2 linked regions of the Nothobranchius furzeri genome follow. The protein of the gene in region 1 purifies or fractionates together with the protein of each later gene. This does not show direct contact. Links are inferred from orthologs where the notes say so. Each region holds a gene or a part of one and is shown on either strand. Other genes may lie near its edges.

What was found.
Region 2: the proteins of polr3f (region 1) and si:ch211-140b10.6 purify together in Homo sapiens (affinity purification with mass spectrometry; 3 studies listed by BioGRID and IntAct, with this or other methods). This does not show direct contact. The link is inferred for Nothobranchius furzeri from reciprocal best matches to the Homo sapiens genes POLR3F and POLR1D.

Annotation. Positions count from the first base shown.
Region 1 is NC_091746.1:29,574,147-29,581,300, reverse strand, and holds the start of polr3f (DNA-directed RNA polymerase III subunit RPC6), read left to right. Parts: upstream 1-2,837; 5' UTR 2,838-2,973; intron 2,974-3,286; 5' UTR 3,287-3,435; coding exon 3,436-3,497; intron 3,498-3,906; coding exon 3,907-4,024; intron 4,025-4,102; coding exon 4,103-4,170; intron 4,171-4,245; coding exon 4,246-4,313; intron 4,314-4,393; coding exon 4,394-4,506; intron 4,507-4,686; coding exon 4,687-4,830; intron 4,831-7,154. Other genes in the region: dzank1 (double zinc ribbon and ankyrin repeat-containing protein 1), read right to left, coding at 1,598-1,655, 1,756-1,858, 1,947-2,094, 2,438-2,546. UniProt on the Homo sapiens protein: DNA-dependent RNA polymerase catalyzes the transcription of DNA into RNA using the four ribonucleoside triphosphates as substrates.
Region 2 is NC_091747.1:51,104,457-51,111,105, forward strand, and holds si:ch211-140b10.6 (protein POLR1D), read left to right. Parts: upstream 1-3,053; 5' UTR 3,054-3,198; coding exon 3,199-3,224; intron 3,225-3,555; coding exon 3,556-3,630; intron 3,631-4,066; coding exon 4,067-4,418; 3' UTR 4,419-4,914; downstream 4,915-6,649. Other genes in the region: pdx1 (pancreas/duodenum homeobox protein 1), read left to right, coding at 6,044-6,410.

The sequences.
Region 1 (7,154 bases):
CTGCTGTGGAGCCCTCTCTGCCCCCGTCATTGTCAGTTTTGGTGAAGCCGACAATTACAAACTTGGGTTCACTCTGGACGTTTTTAAAATGGATGCACAGATAAATCAGGTAGAGTCAGGTCATGTTTCGTTCATCTTCGCCGGCTGGCCAAACTAAAATCTGTCCTGAACAAAAAAGATCTTCAGTCAGTTGTTCATGCCTTTGTAACATCACGTCTGGACTATGCCAACTCTCTCTTATATGGTATTCCCTCCTCTTCAGTGGTACGCCTCCAACTGGTTCAGAATGCTGCCGCAAGGTTTCTTACGGGCGTAGACCGACGGCAGCATATCACCCCTGTTCTGGAAAATTTACACTGGCTTCCAGTTCGGTTTCGGATTAAGTTCAAAATTCTCCTGTTGGTTTACAACTCTATTCATGAAATGGCCCGCTCCTATTTGGCACATCTTTTGAGTCCCTCTGTTCCGGCGCGAACCCTGAGGTCCTCTGACAGCACATTCTGCTTGTACCCCCGGCCCGTTACATGGCCCGTGGCGAACGGGCTTTTTCAGTGTGTGCGCCTAAACTTTGGAACCAACTCCCCCTGGCCCTGACGGTCCAACTCGCCCCCTCCCTTCCCACTTTTAAAGTACGTTTGAAGACATATTTCTATTCCCTGGCCTTCCCGGCTGAGAGTGTTTAACCCGTCTGCTTTCCTGTTTTTATTTTTTATAGTTTTTATTTGTTTTATCTATTTTGGTGATGTATTGTCTTATACAGCACTTTGGTTGGCGTTGTCGCCGTTTAAATGTGCTTTATAAATACAAGTTGATGATGATGATTAAATGAAGTGATGCTTCAGTGTGTTTGGACAAACCTTCTCATTCTCAGGGTTCAAGTTTCAAGAGGTAGTCCCTCAAGACTGTTGGAAAACCATTTCAGGTGACAACCTCTTGAAGCTCATCAAAAGCCAAGAGTAATCAGAGCGGTGATCATGGACGTAATTTTCACTTGAGAAGTGGGGGGGACACGGGGGGGGGGGGATCTTTACAGTATGCTCTAATGGGAAACAGGTTTCAACACAAACGGCTGTTTTCCGCTTGGTCTTAGAGCTCAACCAGTGTCAATTTAATATAGCGTAATATTGTTTTTGGATGGTAAAAAGTGCAGGGGTCAAAACTTGATTTTGGAAAAAGTGGGGGGGACATGTCCCCCCTGTCCCCCCCCAAAATCACGTCCATGGCGGTGATCAGAGCAAAGGGTGGCCTTTTTAAGAAATTAGCGCACAAAACATGTTTTCAGTTATTTCACCTTTTTTGGTAAGTGCATGACTCCACATGTGTTCAATCATAGTTTTGATGCCTTCAGTCAGAATCTATGTAAATGATCATGAAAATAAAGAAAACACATTGAATGAGAAGGTGTGTCCAAAGCTTTGGCCTGTACCGTAGGTGTGAGTGAGCGTGTGGCTGGGTATCTGTCTCCGTGTGTCCCCAAGACTCCACTCAGATGCAAGAAGTTCAGAAAATGAATGAATAATAAATTAGACTAGGATGGATGGATGGATTAAACCTGGTTTGGGTGCAGGTGTGTACTAGTGGACCTTTTCGTACTTACCTACAGATCTTTGTGGAGAACCAAGTGATTTCTCAGCAGAATCACAAGTTCCATCAGGCTGAAGTAACAGAACAATGAAGGAATGAGCAAGGGCAGATAGTTTCATACAAATAGAGGACGGGTTTATGGAATATGCAGAGCAGCGGGTGAGTGTTTACCTTCAAGTGGTTCTGCAGACTATTCTGGTTCTCCACAGTGCTGCCTGAATCCAGTTGAACCACTGAGAAGACCTTGGTCACCACAGAGCTCTGTCTGCCATCACTGTATCAAACACAGTTATGGTCTGATAAACAGGAAGTGATGCAGTGCTACTTTTATTCCTGTCACTCGTTATCAGGTGAGTGTTTACCTGGTGACAGCCACAGCTTTGACAGACACCCGACCAGCAGGTAGCAGGATGGGCTCTGTGTACTTCCTGCTGCTGCCAGCTGCCCCTCTCTGCCCCAGCTCTGGCTTCGACCCATCCAACGTATAGAAGATCAGCACACCTGCAGAGTCTGCACGCACAAACTGTTGTTTAGATCAGCGCTGCAAGGTGGCAAATTTAGCAGAAACCCCGATCAGCCTCGTCGCAAGACAATAATTCAACCACAAAGTATCTTCAGTCAGAAGTTTCTTCAGATCTGCTGCAACACAGAAGATCCGTCCTGTATCCAGCTAGAACCGGATAGAGCTTGCTAGAAAAAGCTGGAACCAGCTAGATCCATGCTGTGTGTGTGTGTTGTGAAATTAACAAAAGAATATGAATGGATGGATAGATAGATGAATGGAGGACAGAAGTGTGTGGTGTGTGTGTGTGTGTGTGTGTGTGTGTGTGGGGGGGGGGGGGGGGGGGGGTACCTGACTGGATGGAGACAGGTGTTGTGGTATCGATGTGCTTCTTGGCTCGATGAGTTGGCAGGTAGATGATGGGAATGATAAGTGGAGGTAAAACAGCTCCTGCTGCCATGGTAACGGATATCAACAAATCAGGAGATCAGGGTTTCTTCTTCTTCAGTTAAAGCAGAAAAGAAAACTTGAGTTTTTTGAGTCCTTGTTTTAAAAGTGCTGCTCACAAACGTCCAGCTAGACCGTCACAACTCACTGAGACGTGATGATATCTGAAAAAACAGGATAGCAATCTAATGTACTAAATAAGAGGTTATAACGTCTCAACACTGATATTAATCAGCTGTCAGCCATTAGACAGCGCCCTCCGCTGGCTACCGGTTTACCGCTCCCGTACCGCACAGTTCTTGTTGTGTAGCGGAACCGTTTTTACGGTTATGAGCTCAAGAATACAGACGCATCGAGCTGGCTGGGAGATGAGACACTTCTGAGAACTGCAGCGTTTATACAACGTCACCATGGCAACAGAGTCTGTCTGAGACGAACGAGTAAGCACAAGTGCCTGCCCCTCGGGGCTGCCGCGAAACTTTCTACAAGTTCACTCTTTAGAAGTTCCTAGAAATGACAGGACTAGCATCTCATGAATGTTTAGAGAAATTTTCTCCGCTTGGATTTATTTGAATGTAGGCACTGGTGTTTCAGTAACTCGTTTTATTTAAATTGTAAAAATAATATAAAAAGTGGGTTCAATTGAAAAACATTAAAAAATGAGAAGTAATTTTGAGGATTAAAATAAGATTTTTTTTGTCTTTCACTTAACCGCTCAACTGAATCTCAATTAATTTATTTTTGAACGGGCAGTTTTCCGGACACCTACCGCTGGGTAAACATCTGTAAGGACCCCTCCAGGGCAATCTTGATACCGCCTGCTCTGAGATTGATTGTGGCGGACCAGAATCACCGCCTTAACGGAGCCGCTGCTCGGACACGAGCCACACGACCGGTTCAGAATGGCGGAGGTGAAGGTGAAGAAGGAGATGAACCAGACGGAACCCGCGGAGGTGGAGAGCAGGTTGGAACGGACCGGATTCTGTGTCCATTCGGTCGATTTGAACGTTTCTCATCCACAATCTCTCACATATCGGTGACAAGTTGAGTTTGGACCCGTTTTCGGGACGGGAACAGGCTCACTCAGACTTCGGCATTCACTTCACTCGTTTATTTGTCAAAAGAAAGTCCCAAAGTAGACTTCATGTCTTCAACGTGGCTGCCAGATTTGCACCATCGTTCTGTTACACCTGTTTGCTGTCTTGCACACGGACAGAGGCATTGCTTTCATACATGTTAAATAAAACATAAGTTTGTTGCAAATAAGAGGAGAATTGGAGGCAGCTGATTGAAGCGAAAACTGCTTTAAAAACAAAAGTTAATCATACGTGAAAAGACGTTCTGATGTGTTTAAACTTGTTTCTGTGACCCAGGATCAAAGATCTGTGTCAGCAGTTTCCTCAAGGTATCACAGACCAGGTGATCCAGAACGACATGCCTCACCTGGAGCCTCAGCAGAGAGCCATGGCCATTAACAAGCTGCTGGCCCTGGTGGGTTCGAGGACCTGACCCATGTCGGTCTCTGTGATGCTGATGGATGATCTGAACTGGTGTTCTATTCTATTATAGGGTCACCTGGACCTTCTCAGGAACAGTTCAGGTCTCCTGTACAGACTAAAGGACTCTCAGATGTCCAGGTAAGACCTGAGATCTGCTCGCTGGCCCCTGTGTGGTTTGGTTCTGCCTCTCTGAAACGCCTTTCTGTGCTTCAGTAAGATGAAAGGCTCAGACAGCCAGGAGAAGCTGGTCTATCAGGTGATTGAAGATGCAGGAAACAAAGGTACCAACCTATTTATGTCTAGAAACATGCAGCTCACCACTAACGGATTAGAACATCACGGCTGTGTAATGTGGCTGCAGGAATCTGGAGCAGAGACATCCGCTTTAAGAGCAACCTCCCTCTGACCGAGATCAACAAGATCCTGAAGAACCTCGAGAGCAAAAAACTCATAAAAGCTGTCAAGTCTGTGGCGGTGAGTGCTGTCGGAACAAAAACGTAGCCGGTTCATAAACCAGAGCATTGCTTTCTAACTAGTGATCAAAGTGTGTGTGTGTGTGTGTGTGTGTGTGTGTGTGTGTGTGTGTGTGTGTGTGTGTGTGTGTGTGTGTGTGTGTGTGTGTGTGTGTGTGTGTGTGTGTGTGTGTGTGTGTAGGCATCAAAGAAGAAGGTTTACATGCTGTACAACCTGCAGCCAGACCGCTCAGTAACAGGTGGGGCCTGGTACAGTGACCAGGACTTTGAGTCAGAGTTTGTGGAAGTTCTGAACCAGCAGTGCTTCAAATTCCTCCAGAGCAAGGTACACACACACACACACACACACACACACACACACACACACGCGTGCACTAAAACAGCAGAGGAGCACAAAAATGGGTGTTCACCTCAGCAACAGCCTGAACTTGTCCACAAATATGGATGACTTCTGCAGTGGAAATCATCCAATGTGGGTTTTTCTGTTGCCAACATCTTGATTTTAATTTTTTTCCCACCTGCCTGCTAAAGCGCAGCTGATGCTCAACATTCCTGACCCTGTTGAGTCTTATTTTTGTACTAAACTGCAATAAAATCAAATATTTAATCAAAGTTATTCAAACAAGTCACCAAATTAATTAGGAATTAAATAAGGAAAACAGGTGAATAAAAAATGTTAGTTACATTAATGTTTTAGAGGATTTATTTAGCAGATTTAAATTAAATAAATTCAAATTTGGAGTAAAAATACAAAAGAGCTGAAAACACAAAAGCAACATCTAAAATGCATCCTGTCTTTTGTTTTTGATTTTTACCAATAATTCTTAAAGAGCAAGTCACCCCCAAATCAGCTTTATTTGCTGATAAACTATATAAATGCATGCCTAATCGTGCTGCAGACACGTGTAGTCAATAGTTTTGCACTTTAGTGCATTTTAGTTCAAATTTAAATTTTCTGCCTAAAACTGTCAGTGTAGTACCGTTGTCAGGTAAAAACTCTTCACTGCATTTGAATTTAAACCTGCCATCGCTATTGGCTAAGAGGTACCCTCAGCTGGTACTAGTGATGGAAGTTCCAGCTCTTTTTAGAGAGCCGGTTCTTTTGGCTCAGCTCACCAAAAAGAGCCGGCTCTTTCGGCTCCCAAGTGGCTCCTCAGATTTTCTGTTGCGTGGAGTACATTTATAACCAAAATGATGATAAACTATATGTAAAATAATTTACTAATGTAAAAAAAGCAATATATCAAATATTTATCATTTCTATGGATTTAATAACTGAACACTTTAAGAAATCTCCACTTTCCGACTGCTGGCGCTCATTTTCTCACCGTCTTCGTCGCGCTCTCCCCTCTCTCTCTCTCTCTCTCTGTCTCTGTCTCTGTCTCTCTCTCTCTCTCTCTCTGTCTCTGTCTCTGTCTCTCTCTCTCTGTCTCTCTCTCTCTCTCTCTCTCTCTCACCTTTTTCCTCCTCCTCATTCCCTCTCGTCTCCCTCCACCTGCATGTGCTCTGCTGTGTGTCTGAGTCTGATCCTCCCTCTTCCCCGCCCCTACTGCTCTGTGTGTGGACAGTCTGGACACACAGTTACACATGCTGACCAATCGCCTGTAGCTTTCACCAAAGCAAGAGGGAAGGGGGGGGGGGGGGCACGGCTCCCAATGATGAGCCGGCTCTTAGGGCCGGTTCGTTCGCGACCGACACATCACTAGCTGGTACCATATGATGTCACAATGTTGTTGTGAGCCTGTGTGTGTGTGTATTAGTTAGCGGCTCCGCCCTCTCGGTCTGCTAGGCAACAGCATTTGTTGCATTTTTCAAACAGGAAGTGGGAGTGGAGTTAGACTCTGGTAGGGGGTGACTTGCTCTTTAAGTTAAACTAAATGAAGCCTTTTAATGATCTTGGCTTAGCAGCAGCATCATAGCAACAAACCTCTCATCCCCGAGACTGAACTTTGGGTATCCGTGGATGTGCCTGACTTTAAACCGGCCTGAAGGATCTCTCTCTCTCTCTCTCTCTCTCTCTCTCTCTCTCTCTCTCTCTCTCTCTCTCTCTCTCTCTCTCTCTCTCTCTCTCTCTCTCTCTCTCTCTCTCTCTCTCTCTCTCTCTCTCTCTCTCTCTCTCTCTCTCTCTCTCTCTCTCTCTCTCTCTCTCTCTCTCTCTCGTCGTCTTCACCTACTCCTTTGGGGTGAACTGAACTCAGTTATGGACCCTCTACAGCTCTGTGGTAGCGTCTGTTGTCCTTTTATGAGGTTTATTATGTTTGGTGGAAGTGTAGAGAGGGTCAAGGGGACATTAATCAAGCTGGTCAAGAGGGAAAGGGCAGTCCAGCACTGTCCCTTGAGGTGTGTGGAGCAGGTTTGAACCCCACCCCCAGACAGCGGGACAGACAGACAACTGAATTGTCCTCTTACTCTGTTTTTGTTATGAGAGCGCTGGAACAGCCGTGTGGTAATAAAAGTTTATTCAGGTCATTACGGACCACCAGAGGGCAGCAGAGATCTCCCTCCTGAAGGTCCACTGACCTGACCTCATGTCTCTGAGCTCAGTTCCTTAGTAAGGCATTATGGGATGTAAGGATCTTATCTTTTAAAAGAGGTCTTAAAGAAACGATGGAAGCTCTTTAACCGTGAAGCTTCAGCCAGCCTCCATCA
Region 2 (6,649 bases), on another chromosome or scaffold:
CCTACTCCAATCTTCCAATTCGCCGAGAGGGAATTATCTGGGATTGAAGCAGAGAGAGGACACAGATCAGAGAAAGCGGGATTGGGAAATCAGCTGGAGGAGGTAGTGAGGGCAGAGCCGCGAAGGAGAGAAGGAGGTTTGAAGATGGGTGAAAGAGGTCAGGTAGATTTGTGAAAAAATAAATAAATAATAAAAAAAACAGAAAGGGCCAAGAAGGGAATAGAAATTTCACAAAAAATGCAAAGCATGAAGGCAGAAATAGTTTAGGCGCTTGATATTTTTGGCTTGGACCATTTACAAAGGATGAACTTGATCTCCTCCACAGCAAGAAGAGAACATGCCTTAAGCAAAGTCTTGAAATAAAACAAACAGAGGAAGTCCCTGGAGCTGCTGCAGAAGAGTTCACACTCGGAGCCTTCCAGACCTCCAACACCCCAGAGGGCCCGATGCCTTCAGCGGACAGTAGAGGGCGTGCCTCCCTGCTCAGTGGCCAAGCCACAGTGACTACCTGCCTCTGTTCCAGCAAAGGGTCTGCTCCTGTCTCCATGACGACCTGCATCCTGTTCTGCTCAGTGGGGCTTGACATTCAGAGTGTAGCCAGCGAAGGATGCAGAGGAGGCGCAACAACAGATGCACTTCTCCCAGCAAGATGCTGAAAGCTCGTCACACTGCGCAGAGCAGGATGAAAGTCCCTCCGGTTCATTTCTATTCTTGCGTTTGATTTGATCTGCACAGATTGTCTCCTGACAAACCTGTCCCTACCGTCTCCTTGGCCACGGGACCAGTAGCCCCTTATTTCTGTCTCCTTTTCAAGCACATGCTCCTGTCTGTGTGTGACTGGCTGCTTCTGTCTCTATCCCGCAGCTGGACATGAATTAATCATGAGGACACAAGGCTTCTCTGTTTCTGTAACAAAGCTGTGACATCACCACATCACACACAGACGTGTAGACATGCAGGCGTAAACCTGCACGCGCATACGCAAACAAGCACACGAGCTTTATCCAGCAGGCCCTGAAAATAATCTTTGGGATTTTAGAACTCTCAAAGCACTTTGATCTTTTTCAGGACAATAGTCCTCTGCAGAAGTATGAATGCATGCATGCTTTGTATTGTATTAACGAATGACAGAATTTTGTCTACACACAAATGACAAACTAAGGTTTTAGCACGTGCAGAAATGCAATAACCAACAGAAATGGCATCATAATTTAGGCCACAGATTTTAAAACTCAAGTTTATCTTACGTTCGACCCGATCTCTTCATCCATGTTTTTAAATTTATTTAGAAGAGGCCTGCAAGGTGTGTTTCAATTGTCTGTTTTTCTCCAGGCAGACGTGCAGGGGTGACAACAAAAACAGACACTGATTTGATTAAATCTAGCATTTTCTCCTCCTCCCGGTGTCGTCGTCCCAGATTGCCTTGCATAAACTGCAGTGTCATATTCCGGTTAAGTCAACATCGTTATTAAAATCATCGCACCCCTCTTTCACCTCCCTCCCCAGCTGTCTGACTTCATCCCATCCTGCAGAAGCGGAGGCGCGAGAGGACAGGACAGAAGAGGCGACAGCATCAACCCCGCTCGCTGACACAGCTCATGCAGGAGATGGATGTCTCCAGATGTGATGGATGTTTTACCTTCTTCCGGCGGCTCCTCCGCGCCGTCCACTCGGGCCCCAAAGCGGGGAGCAATTATCAGCTGCGGGGCGTCGATCACGCATTCGCCGCAACCGACGGAGAGCTCCGCAAGCCCGCAAGAAAACGCCCCCGTACCGTTGGCGCCGCTGATCCCGCCCACCGCTGCCAATCAAAAGGTGATGGGAGGAGTCTACGGAGCTGAGTTTAGAGGTGGCTTACACCGACCGCCTGTTCAAAAACAGGATCAGAACAAAAATTAGAATAGAATAGAATAGAATAGAATAGAATAGAATAGAATAGAATAGAATAGAATAGAAAAAAACAGAACAAATATATACTTAATTATCTGCCTCAAAAGTATTCTTACAGTGCTGGGTGAAGTGTATTACCCACAAGTCATTGCTGCAGGAGAAAGGGTTCAAGTTCCTTTTCTGAATATTTTCTAATGGAATGAGTTAGTTTTGGGACAATCAGTTGATGCTCTGAATGTTTTAGACAAAGCAGCAATTAATTAAAATTTATTTCAAATAATGGGTTGTTTGTTTAAAAGTTGTTAATAAAGGCTTTTGAAAAAGTATCACAGGACCAGCATCTCGGCATGCGTTGCGTTTCATGACGCAATGCTCCCTGTCTCACTTCAGCAATTATTTGCACAGTTGTAGTCCACGCACTCGAAGCCTTACTGCACACTTTCTCCAAGTGCACTTTGCTGAAGACTGCAGGGCGCAATGCGAGTATTGGCACTGGGCCTGCTTGTGATGTCACAATTGGGGACAATTTCAAATAGCTTGTTTTAGGCACAACATTTCTACAACCACACATTGGCATGTTTGGAGCGTTTATAGAGGCAGAGTGCACATGGCGGCACAAAAAGGATGCAAAAGGCATAATATGTCTTCTTTAAGAAGATTACTTCTAAATAAAAATGTTTGTTATTGTCCTTTAATGTATCACAATCTAGATTACTAAAATATCTTGCTTGATGATATTCTGTAACTATCACTTTACTTTTGATTAAGCCATTGTATGTATTTAAATTATTTTTACAATTTACCAAAGAATTAAGTTGGCTTAGTTCCCAATGGAAAATGTTTAATCAAATAAAAAATGTACAAGTTTAAATGTCACATTTTACGTTTCGATTTGAGTATAAATCCTTTTTTTTAACAAAGTGTGTTTATATATTTGTTTGATTCTATGTTTGTTTTAAAGTTATTTGTGGCCAAATGTTGCTAAAACAATCAGCTGTAAATGTTTTTCCAGGGGTGCCCCATAACTTATTGAACTTTTAAAAATATCAATTATTTTAATTAAAAAAGATCAATACATAATACACAAACATATCTACTTGTAAATAAAAAATGTAGTTTGGTTTCATAACTTATTTTCAACATGATTTTGCAACTGAACAGGCATTGCTCCGGGCAGCTAAAAACAGGGTCCGCGATTGAAGGACCTCTCGGCGAAGTGAACAAGAAATGCCTCGTAAATTAACGTAAATTTATAGGTTTTATTAGGTTTTTATTTATTTGTAAGAGTTTTTGTGTGATTAAGACGCAATGGCGGAAGAAAATGAGCTAGAAAAGTGAGTAAATGTATCTTTATTAACTTCCGTCTGAACACATTTGCAGACATTTTCCCTCTAAAATGTAACGCTGCGGAAAAACAGTCTGTTAGTAGTTCTGATCTGAGTTGTTTACTGTATTTAAAGTTGACTTGTTGACTCTAGCTGCCTGTTGTGTGTAGTTTCAGGTCGGCATAAGTAGCGAGTCCAATCTGGTGATGAGACTCATTTCGGGTCAAACAAGGACACGTCCGCTTTACTTTCATCTTATATTTCTTGTACATCTGCTCAGAATTTCTGTCCTGTTTGTCTCATGACTCATTCTCCTGGTTCTGGGTCCGGTTCCGTCTAGGCGCGCCGTGGAGGAGCTCCTGAGGGAGACTGACAGAGCCCGGGTGAGAGCAGAGACCATGGGTCCTGCAGGATGGTGAGCTCTGAAATATCTCTGACCCTCTCATGTGGATTGGCTTTCTTTCTTTTCTTTTTTCTTTTTGGATAATTACTTAGTGTCTAGTATTATTTTAAATATTAGATTATTTTGCTCATGTTCTCATTAAACCATCTGAACACACCACGTGTCTTCCTAAAAATGTTAGTTTTGCACTAAAAGTTATCTTATCTGTTGGTATTTTAATTTGAGGTCTTATATCATATATATACATTAAAGGTTTTTTTGGGGCATTTCAATCGTATGTGTGAAAATTTCTTATTTAGCCTCTTTATTCTATAGTTAAAGGGATAAAACACCCACAAAAGTCATGTTGCTGAAGTCTGATTGAATCTGTGAAATTAAATTTCTTCTTTCGGCATCAACTGCTGGATTTTTCTGGATCTGTGTCTGATGTTTGTGGATTTTTCTCCAGGTTGAAGTGTCCTCTACAGAGCACCAACAAACGCTTCTTACTCAACACCCTGCGCTCCACGGGCCTGCACCGGCGCACAGAGGAACCCCAAGCCAAATGTTCCTCCACAAGAGGACGCCTTCGGAGCGAGTCCCCGGACAGACAGCGTGACCGCAGCAGAACGCCTCCGCCTGATCACAGGAATACTGGCGGCCCCTCGGATCATAAACGTCCTCACATGGACCGCCGCACAAGTCGAGATAAGAGGCCGGACAGAGATAAGGACAGACGCAGCAGACACCAAGACGACAGAGACCGGAAACATGCCGATGGACAGAAAAGAGACAAAAAAAGACGGATTCAGACTTCATGAATGGACCGGCTTTGTTTTTAGTCTCAGGAGCTCATAACCGACTGAGAGGTGCTGCTGTTTGCTTTGTGTTTAAAAGAGAAAAACTTTATTTAAAATATCATTTTACAGAGAAATAGAGTGAGTTTTGTCTCTTTGGACGTACTGGTAGATTATTTTCTTTTTTCCCAATAAAATGCAACAGAATGAGGTCAAACAGTCTCTCTCGTGACTCATGATGAGGTGTAACCGTGTTCGTCACAGGAGGGGGACCTAATCTCTATTATAACGCCATTACTATTCATCACGTGTCATGATGTTTACATAGGCCACGCTGCTGTCGCCACAGAGTAAGCATGTTTTATCATTTTTTGACATGCCGTCAAAAACTGGTTTGTTACTCAATGAAAAAGCTAAAAAACATTTCATTTATTTTGTTTCAGGAACAATCTGTTGATTTTGTGTGATTGTCCTCACTTTGAGATGGCAGATGGCCATTAAATCTTTCCATTTTTTCTGACTCCACTGTCTTTTATTATTTCTACAACTTTACAGGGACGAAAGTGTCTGATTCTGATTGCCTCCCTTCTTAACGGGCAACACGCCTCATAAATCACATATGGAACAGCCTGGGTTAACAATTTCCTTCCTCTTTACAACAATGATCAAATATAAAGGCCATTAGGCCATATTGCAGGGGGGTGTTTTGCATAGAAATGGCTCACCTGGACTTTATTGCACCGTTGAGTGCTGCCATTAAGATTCATTGGAAAGTGCTATAATTGCTTTTGAAGATCTGAGTGCAAATAGTCTATCGAAGCTGCGCAGACTATCAAAATAAAAGCCGGCTCGTCCCGCGTGACAAACATGCGTCTGAAAGTCGTGCGTAAAAGGCCGTGGAGACGCGCGCTCCAAACGCGCACGGCGGTTAATTGAGTTCAGTTGGTCTCTTCATGATAATTGACTAACCAAGAGGGCTATTGTTAAATGGGGCGAGGACACACAAAGATTAATGGCCAGCAAACACGAGGAGAGTGCAGCAGAGTTGTGTTTGTCGTCGCCAAGGTTTTTTTTATCGTCTGAGGCAGCGCGCGCAAAAATGGTGTTAAATGATGCATTTAGAAAAGTGTAATGGACAGATTTAAACGTCAGAAAGAGCTGGACTAAAATAAAAGGCTGTGGAAACTAAGGTGTGTTTCCAAGACAACGGGTGCCTTATCTCGCAGGTCAACCCAATGTTTGCACCCATAGTATCGATTTACAAGACTCATATTCGCATAAAATGTCGATTGCTTCCATGTCTGTGGACGAGAGTCCTGCGTGAAGAAAGTATCCAAATTTTTGTTGTTCCACTCGGAGTTGGTGTATGTGAACGTTTTGGCACCGATTTTACGCACTGCTCTGTTCAACTCAGGGGGAAAAGCTGCAGAATATCATGGAAACTGGGCGCTGTCATTCCGAGCAAACACTGGAGCCAATGAATTGGGCGCCTTGGGGTCACATGATGTCTGAGTGACACACCTGTGTGGAGCAGGGGCCTTGCAGTTGCGCCACAGGTGGAGCCGAAGGTCCACACCGAGGAAGGGCGGCAGGAACAGGGTGCATGTCCGCGTCTAACGCCCCCCTGTAACCTCCGCTCCTCTCCAGCCATGAATCGAGAAGATCAATTCTACCCCTCTCAGGTGTTTAAAGACTCCTGTGTCTACCAGAGACCACAGGGGGAGGACTACAGCCCTCCACCCTGCCTCTACATGAGCAGACCCGTGCACTCCGTCTACACACCGCCGGCCTTGGGAGCCCTGGAGCAGGCCAGCCTGGACATCGCCCCCACTTACAGTGTGCCCATGCGGGAGGATCCAGGTGTGCCACAGCTGCACCACCCGCAGGGGCTCCAGCTGTCCCCGCTCCAGAATCTGGGTTATGGAGACACGGGAGATCAGAACAGATACCAGCTTCCTTTTCCCTGGATGAAGACCACTAAATCCCATTCACACACCTGGAAGGGACAGTGGACAGGTAAGCCCTCTGTGCCTGAAGGACATTTAGATGTGGACACTAAATATTTATAACTTTAACGGACTCTCCTGGGCCTGCATGTGGTGGTACGAGCTCCCCACAAAAACCCAACAGGCTCAAACAAAAGCTTTTCATTAACATTAAAACACAAACTTCAAATGTTATTTTATAAAGCAAATTAAAATAAAACTCTATGGACTAAATGGAAAATGTTTCAGATTAAAAGGCTTTTTTATCCG